Macaca fascicularis: one gene and its partner. The protein of the gene in region 1 interacts with the protein of each later gene in a biochemical or structural test. Links are inferred from orthologs where the notes say so. Each region holds a gene or a part of one and is shown on either strand. Other genes may lie near its edges. The genes, in order: MTOR and EIF4EBP1.

Region 1 (3,806 bases):
TCATTTCAATGAATGGAGGGGAAGGGAAAAGTAAGGGAGAAGCCATATAGCAATAAGAGAAGTAACTCTCAACAACTGTCACCCACAAAAATTGGATTTGGGGTAGATAGGTCCATATAGACCTATCTGTACCAGGTACCTGGTTTATGCTGTCATTGAGAGACAAAGGTCAAGATGGAAAGATGGTATCTTAAAATTGTATTCCAGGCCGGGTTCGGTGGCTCACGCCTGTAATCCCAGCACTTTGGGAGGCCGAGGCGGGCGGATCACGAGGTCAGGAGATCAAGACCATCCTGGCTAACACGGTGAAACGCCATCTCTACTAAAAATACAAAAAATTAAGCCGGTGTGGTGGCGGGCACCTGTAGTCCCAGCTACTCGGGAGGCTGAGGCAGGAGAATGGCGTGAGCCCGGGAGGTGGAGCTTACAGTGAGCCAAGATCGTGCCACTGCACTCCAGCCTGGGCAACAAAGCGAGACTCCGTCTCAAAAAAAAAAAAATGTATTCCAAAAGCCCATCTCCTTTCTTCCATATGGCTGAAAATTTTGCTGGCTCCTTCACATTGCCTCCTGAGAACAAGAGGAAATACTAGAAGGGCTTCAGTGTCCCCCTAACAATTCGTGGCCCTCTTACGAGGGCTGTTTTGAGGAGGGAGCATCATGGGGGCTTGTTTCTCTGCTTCCAGATGCTTCCTGAAACTTGGAGAGTGGCAGCTGAATCTACAGGGCATCAACGAGAGCACAATCCCCAAAGTGCTGCAGTACTACAGCGCTGCCACCGAGCACGACCGCAGCTGGTACAAGGTGATCAGAAGCAGGGCCGCCTGCGAGACCCAGCACCCTGGCTGGCTTGCTCATGTCCTCTTGTGTGCTCGTGGTTACAGCTGAGCTTCTGTGGAGCTAGGCTGATGCTGTTAATTTGCTTCTTGAGTCCCTGGAGTCTGTCAGTCACAGGCCCAGGGAGCCTGCGTTTCCCCCTACAAGTTTAATTAATACAGAAAGATTATTGTGAGAAATACTTGTTACACCATTATTAGGTGTGTGGGGTGCTGGGGATTGCTGCTGTCTTATAGATTCTGAGCTGCTTGTTTTCCTGGGAGCATCTGGACACATGGTTAATCTCTGGAGCGTCATCTTCCCTTGGGTCATCTGTTCCTGCTCAGCATTTTTCTGATTTCCATCCTTGCCTGCTCCTCAGCTAAGAACTTAACTTTCTTTATTTTTATTGGAAAGATCCAAGTAACATCCTGTTATGTTACAGGAAACTTTTGAAAGAGATAAACAGAATTAGAAAATTTTTAAAAGATGTGATTGATGGAGGGGTGATTTTTGCAAGTATATATCTTTAGTGAGAACACACATTCTCATTTCTTTTTGAGAGGCTTCCTGGTAAGTAGGTGTGGCAGATGTCATTGATGTCTTTCCAGTATCTCCTTGGTTTGCCAATACTTTGTGAATTAATCCCTCTGAAATCTAAACTTGCATCTGAGGACTGCAGAAGCACTTATAATACAGATCTTACCTTTGTTTAGACATGCTTCATTCTGGTTTGCATGAATGTCCAAAGCTGTATGTCCAAAGCTGCATGTCCAAAGCTGGAAAATACATCCAGTAAACACTATTAGCTGGACGCTTATTAATCAGAATTGCATTCTAACCAGAGTTACTTTTCTTCATTTAGCTTTTAGGAAGTAAGCAAATCACAAGAAAAAAGCTGGTTTCAGGAACTTTAGTTTTAGTTTTTAAAAGCATTTCCTAATGTGGGTCCCTTTAGTTTTATAATGTCTTCTACCGTCAACGTCATGGCCCTGTGTGCATGCCAGGACTGCTTGTCTGGTTCACCTTGACCCCAGATCATTGCTAGGCACATAGCAGATATACAAGAGATGTTCGGGGAATAAATGAAGGTATGGAAAAACTGAAACCTGGGTCATTGTAGAATTCTTACTCACCAAGTAAAGGTTAATTGTGATCAGTCTATTCTGCTTAGATGAGAAAACGGATACACCTGTGTTCAAGGTTTTTGGCAAGGCATACAAATGAATTTCCTGATTATTCAGAAAGTTCAGCTATTAATGGGTCACGTAGTGTCCTACTGTCACTGCAGAGTTACCGTGCCTGGAAGCAAACTCTGCCTCACACTTGCTAAACCAAGCAGTGTACGCTATAGAGTCATTGCCGCTCAGAACCCCAGAGAGACAGTAGTATTCCTTTATCCGAATAAGCACCAAGGGTTCGTCCATCAAGCATTGAGCTCTGGTTCTCTGTCAGGCCATGGGCTAGGTGTGGAGACCAGGTAGATGGGTGAGATTCTTTCTCCATCATGCTCCTATGCTCTTCATGTCTTCCTTTGTCCACTATCTGGTGACCTGTCAAGACTTTGCTCCCCTGAAATATTGTGATGACTGCTGCTTGCCCCCACTTCTGCTTGCCGCTTCTGCTCTCCCCTAAATGTACACTTTATATCCAATGCAGCTCTGCTTTCTGGGTGAAAGTGCCAGCCCCGTGCCTGCTCCAGGCATGCTTTACTGGCCTCGCTCTCACTCCTCGCCTGCGTGTATCTCCTGCGCAGTCACATCCATGGGCTTATTTCCCGTGAACCAATCTGTGCATCTCTGGCCTTATCTTCCCCCTTGCCAAGTAGTCCCCACCGCTGCTCTCTTGTTTCCCTCCTTGCCCTTCTGCAGCTCTCTTCCAGACCTACCCCAAATCCCTCTTCTTGACAAAGCTTTCCAAATCCCTGTCCTTGCTACTCCCGTTGCGCCTTGCAGAGTACCTAGGTCTTCAGGTTTGTACGTGAGCTCCCCTAGAAGGCCAGGAGATCCCTTGAGGCAAGAGCTGTCTCCTGCTCCTCTTGCTGTGCCCTTCTCGCAGTGCAGTCACAGCAGTACGTTATATGGTTAGTGCTCCACAAAGTCAGTGGATCATGTTGAATTTAGTAAAACAGCCATTTCTGAGTGTCTCCTTGAAGTGTTTGCTTTATGGACACAAAGAAGAGGCAGGAGCAGCTGTTCCTCAGCATTTACCTTGCACTCCTCTGAGCCCTGCTGTTGGTCACAGCTCCGGTGTCTGTCCTTGCCTTTCTCCCCAACCAGGCCTGGCACGCGTGGGCAGTGATGAACTTCGAAGCTGTGCTACACTACAAACATCAGAACCAAGCCCGTGACGAGAAGAAGAAACTGCGTCATGCCAGCGGGGCTAATATCACCAACACCACCACTGCCGCCACCACGGCCGCTACTGCCACCACCACCGCCAGCACCGAGGGCAGCAACAGTGAGAGCGAGGCCGAGAGCACCGAGAACAGCCCCACCCCATCGCCGCTGCAGAAGAAGGTCACTGAGGTACCCTTCCCTTCTTCCTTATTACCAACCAACCAACGTGCCAGGCTCTCTGAGAAATGGAACTGTTGTTAAGCTTAAAAGGAACCTGAGGCTGTATCTGAAGTGCCAGGTGGAGCTGGAAAATACTGCCTGTCTGCCATCCAGCACTGCCTGAGACAGGGCTTTGTGTGGATATTTGTGTTTGGGGAGCTGACGCAGCCTCCACGCTGAAGAACAAGCTCCTTGTCAAGCTTCCCCGTGGATGAGCTCATTCTCTACGTGCTGCACCTGTGTGTGGGTGGCTGTACACAGCTGCAGGTCCACTCTGAGGATGGGGCTTGGGAGATCCATCCTCTGCCTTTTTCTCTCCACTTCCACTTCTTCCCCTTCTCCTTGGACTGTCAGTTCATAATGCACCAGGGCAGCTGGCAGGCCCAGAGATCTGAGTGTTCAGAGCCTTAGCCCCATCTCCTCCCACCATCCC
Region 2 (4,503 bases), on another chromosome or scaffold:
AGTGGCGTGTGCCTGTTGTCCCAGCTATTGGGGAGGCTGAGGTGGGAGGATCGCTTGACCCCGGGAGGTGGAGGTTGCTGTGAGCTGAGATCATGCCATTGCACTCCAGCCCAGGTGACAGAGTGAGACCCTTCTCAAAAAAAAAAAAAAAAAAAGAAAGAAAGAAAAAAGAAAGAAATGCTGAATCTAGTCCCCACCCCCACCTACAGAATCAGAATATGCACTTAAATGAAGCCCCCAGTTATCCTCAAGCACCTGGAAGGTTGAGACGCAGTATTCTGCTCTGGAGCAAAAGGGTCCTGCGATGTGACCATTTCAGCTTCTCTGCCCTAGCAGAGGTGGGCTGAGGTGGGCTTTGGAGGAAGAGTTCACACCTTGGCTAATCGAGGCCGACCAGGCTTGCTTGACTTTAGTGGAAGTAAGCCGGGTTTCCCTGGCTTAGGGACTGTGAGCTGTACCTGGATGACCCAAAGAGTGAGCTGGCTTTAGGCTCCTGGCACTGCTAGCTTCTTCCAGTGATCTCAGAAACATGCTATGCCCTGATGCAGAAGCCCCTTCCCCACTCCCCCTACTGTTAAAGACCTTCGGCCGGGCGCGGTGGCTCAAGCCTGTAATCCCAGCACTTTGGGAGGCCGAGACGGGCGGATCACGAGGTCAGGAGATCGAGACCATCCTGGGTAACACAGTGAAACCCCGTCTCTACTAAAAATACAAAAACTTAGCCGGGCGAGGTGGCAGGCGCCTGTAGTCCCAGCTACTCGGGAGGCTGAGGCAGGAGAATGGCGTGAACCCGGGAGGCGGAGCTTGCAGTGAGCTGAGATCCGGCCACTGCACTCCAGCCTGGGTGACAGAGCGAGACTCCGTCTCAAAAAAAAAAAAAAAAAAAAAAAAAAAAAAAAAAAAAAAAAAGACCTTCAAAAGGAGGGGGATTTGCTGTGGTCTGTCAGCCCCCTGCCTACTCCCCACTTCCCAACCCAAAGTGAAAAGTGGATTCAAAGTTCATATATTTTATGTTTATTATTTATTTTAGAGACAGGGTCTCGCTCTGTCACCCAGGCTGGAATGCAGTGGTCAATCATAGCTCACTACAGCCTCCAACTCCTGGGCTCAAGCGACCCTCTGGCCGCAGCCTCTGTAATAGCTAGGACATCTTTTTTTTTTTTTTTTGTAGAGATGGAGTCTCACTATGTTGCCCAGGCTGGTCTTGAACTCCTGGCCTCAAGCAATTCTCCTGCCTCGACTCCCCAAAATGCTGAGATTACAGGTGTGAACCTTGGTACCCGTGCCAGAAGTGCCTATAAACAGTATCTGTGGCTTCCAATTTGACCCAACAATCCAGCAATAAAAGGCGCAAAAAAGGGCTACCTGTGCCTTCAGGCCAGCCTCAGGGCCCACCCTGAACAAATCCAGCAGACACTTACACCCTCAGTTGAAAGAAGTCCAAAATTGTCAGGAATTGTCCTGGTAGACCATTGTGACAGGGACAAAGGAGAACAGCATGAACTACAAAAGACCCAGCAAGGGAAAGAGGATGAGTCGGGAGTGGCAATAAGAGCCCCTGCGAGCTTTTCCTTGGCTCATTTCTAATAGAAAACGAAGCATTCCTCCCTTCTCTGCCTGGTTGCTATTTCTTGTCCAATCTGGGAAAACGGTGTGACAATGGGCAATAGACACGTGTTCAAGCTCTGGGGCCTCAATGCCCGGCTCTGTAGAATAAGGCGGCAGGGCTGGACAAGATCCCTAACCGTTCTAACAGTGTATGTTTTGGATCAAATAGCTGAGGACCTCGGATCCGGCCGTGCATGCTGCTGGTAGGACAGCTGCCTGAGAAAATAAGCATGTGGCCCCTGCCCGCCACCGAGTGAAGCGCCAGGATCTGTCGCGTTTTCGAGTAGTTTGGAAAGCAGCGTGGAGGAGATTGAAGGGAGAGAAGTCAAAGGGGTGGGGGCAGTACGAGGATGGGAGGGGAGTGGAGAGCCACGAGGATTTGTTTCATCATGCAAACAGGCGCGTAGGTTTCATCAGCGTCTGTGCGCTGGGGTTGCGGGGCTGGGAGGGAATGCCAGGCTCCTGAGGGCAGCCTGAGGCTGCCCCCCCACCCCCGCACCCGTGCCAGCTCAGCTTCCTCTTCCTCATCCTCTCCCAGGGAGGTCACACGGTGCCTCCTCCTCTCCCCGGACAGAAGAACGTGTTTTTCTGCACAGCCCTGCCCGTGGCGCCCGGCCCCCCCGCGGAGATCCCACTCGCGAAAATGGGGAACGTGCCACAGGTGCCCGGGAGGCTCTGCTGGAGCAGGAGAGCACCCCCACATCCAAACCTCCGTCAGAGCGCGCGTGTCCAACGCAAAACTAGGGGTGCTTCGGAAAGGAAAAAGGGCCCTGCAGGAATCATTTATCCCAACAGATAATACCCATCCCATAAAAACACCAGGCCAGGCCTCTCCTGGATCGTGGGCCACCCTGACTCCGCCCTATCCTGCCTCGGGAGCGCCCCCAACACCCACAAGGGGCAGCACAGCTCGGCATGTGGCAGTCCTGGAAGAGTGCGTGTTTGTTAGGTGTCAGCTGTCTGACACCTAACAGAAAGAGGAAACGAACGGGGCAGTTTGCAACCTGGGTCTGGACGACGCACTCAAGAGGGCAGACGGGCGGCCACTTCCATGACCCTTGCTATCTCCCCGATGCCCCTTCTCCGTTCTTTCCAGTCACAGCGCCCTTGAGCCTGGACACCCGGTCCAATCCGCGATTCCCGATCCTCCCGCCCGCCCAGGAGCCGGCCAGCTGCGTCCCCAAGCCCGCGCCTACCTCCCGGGGTGGTGCTGAAGAGTGTGCCGCCGGGGGTCGTGCTGTAGTCCCCGGGCGGGAGCTGCACGCCGTCGCCGAGCACCACCCGGCGAGTGGCGGGGATGGCCCGACTTGGGGTTTGGCTGCAGCTGCTGCCCCCGGACATGGTCTCCTGTGCGCTGCACCAGCGAACCTCTCGCTGCCCTCCCGCGCCTCCAGCCTCGCTCCGCCTAGCCGGGTCCCGCTCAGCCTCGCCCCGTCCCGCCCCGCCCCAGGACGCCCCTTCCGCCTCTCCCGCCCACGCCCCTGGGATTTGTAGTCCGCGCCGCAGCCCCACCCAGCTCCAGGACGTTGCTTCCACGTGGGATCCCCCGCAGCCCCCCGACCCACTCACGCCTGCTCACGGGCTCTTCCGCACGGGCGCCGGCGCCGCCCCGCAGCGACTGCCCCTCTGTCCTGTGTCCCTCCCCGCCACGTTGGCAGGGATGGGGGTGGGGGTGGTGGGCGGGATAGCTCGCCTAAATTAATCCTTGGCTGGGTTGGGGGCGGCGACTCAGGACCGCGCGGAGATCCGAGCTGACCCGGCCCACTGCAGGAAGGCCCGGTTTCTGCCTTAGTACATCAGGCCCGGTGTACCCTCCGGCACTCCCTGTTTCGTGCCTTAGTTCCTCAGATGAGAAAGTGGGGATTGAGTGGTCATGCTCACCCCCTCCCCCGCCTCAATTTCTTGACCTTGATGGGGGTGGGGATGGTGGGGCTAACAATTCTGTTCCCGGCCTTTAGACAGGGTGTGGGAGGAGGAGTGAACCAACCAGCGGCGTCCTGGGAGTTAAATTTAGAGCTAGGGCGCGGGGGTAGGGGGAGAGGGAAGGGCGTAGGAGAGGGGTAAGAGTTTGTCAAAGAGGTTTCCCGATAACTCCTGAATTGGGTCCAACGCCCACCCCACTGCCTGAGATTTAGTAGGTACTCCTTGGATGGTGGATGGAGGGATGTTCAAGGGGAGAGAGAAAAATGCAAGAAGGACCGAGGATGGAAAAGCTTGTTGGGTTTGAGAAGTTCTTAGCATTGTGGGCACATGTTGTGGGGAAGAGGGTGAAGAAAGTTTAAAAGGGAAATTGGGTGGTGCACCTGTAATCCCCACTACTCAGGAAGCTGAGCTGGAGGATGCTTGAGCTCAGGAGTTTGAGGCTCCAGTGAGTGTGATCACACCACTGCACTCCACCCTTAGTGACAGAGACCCTATCTCTAAAAAATATATAATAATTTTTTAAAAAGGAAATTGGGGTCAGGTCATTGAGTTTTTCAAATCATGCCAAAGTGCTTGGACTTTGTCTTAGAAGGGCAGGAGAGATCAGAGATTTTTTTTTTTTTTTTTTTTTTTTAAGGCTGGAGTGCAGTGGCGCGATCTTGGCTCACTGCAAGCTCTGCCTCCCGGGTTCACGCCATTCTCCTGCCTCAGCCTCCCGAGTAGCTGGGACTACAGGCGCCCGCCACTGCGCCCAGCTAATTTTTTGTATTTTTAGTAGAGATGGGATTTCACCGTGTTAGCCAGGATGGTGTTGGTGTCGATCTCCTAACCTCGTGATCCACCCGCCTCGGCCTCCCAAAGTGCTGGGATTACAGGCGTGAGTCACCGCGTCCAGCCCAGAGATCTTTTAAGCAGGGGGATGACATGATTTGAGTTGTTTTTTTTGAAAGATAACTAGTAGCCAGTGGAGTT

What was found.
Region 2: of the proteins of MTOR (region 1) and EIF4EBP1, one has a biochemical effect on the other in vitro, tested with the Homo sapiens proteins (29 studies listed by BioGRID and IntAct, with this or other methods). The link is inferred for Macaca fascicularis from reciprocal best matches to the Homo sapiens genes MTOR and EIF4EBP1.

Annotation. Positions count from the first base shown.
Region 1 is NC_088375.1:223,669,932-223,673,737, forward strand, and holds part of MTOR (serine/threonine-protein kinase mTOR), read left to right. Parts: intron 1-685; coding exon 686-803; intron 804-3,094; coding exon 3,095-3,343; intron 3,344-3,806. UniProt on the Homo sapiens protein: Serine/threonine protein kinase which is a central regulator of cellular metabolism, growth and survival in response to hormones, growth factors, nutrients, energy and stress signals.
Region 2 is NC_088382.1:41,420,613-41,425,115, reverse strand, and holds the start of EIF4EBP1 (eukaryotic translation initiation factor 4E-binding protein 1), read right to left. Parts: upstream 3,012-4,503; 5' UTR 2,950-3,011; coding exon 2,805-2,949; intron 1-2,804. UniProt on the Homo sapiens protein: Repressor of translation initiation that regulates EIF4E activity by preventing its assembly into the eIF4F complex: hypophosphorylated form competes with EIF4G1/EIF4G3 and strongly binds to EIF4E, leading to repress translation.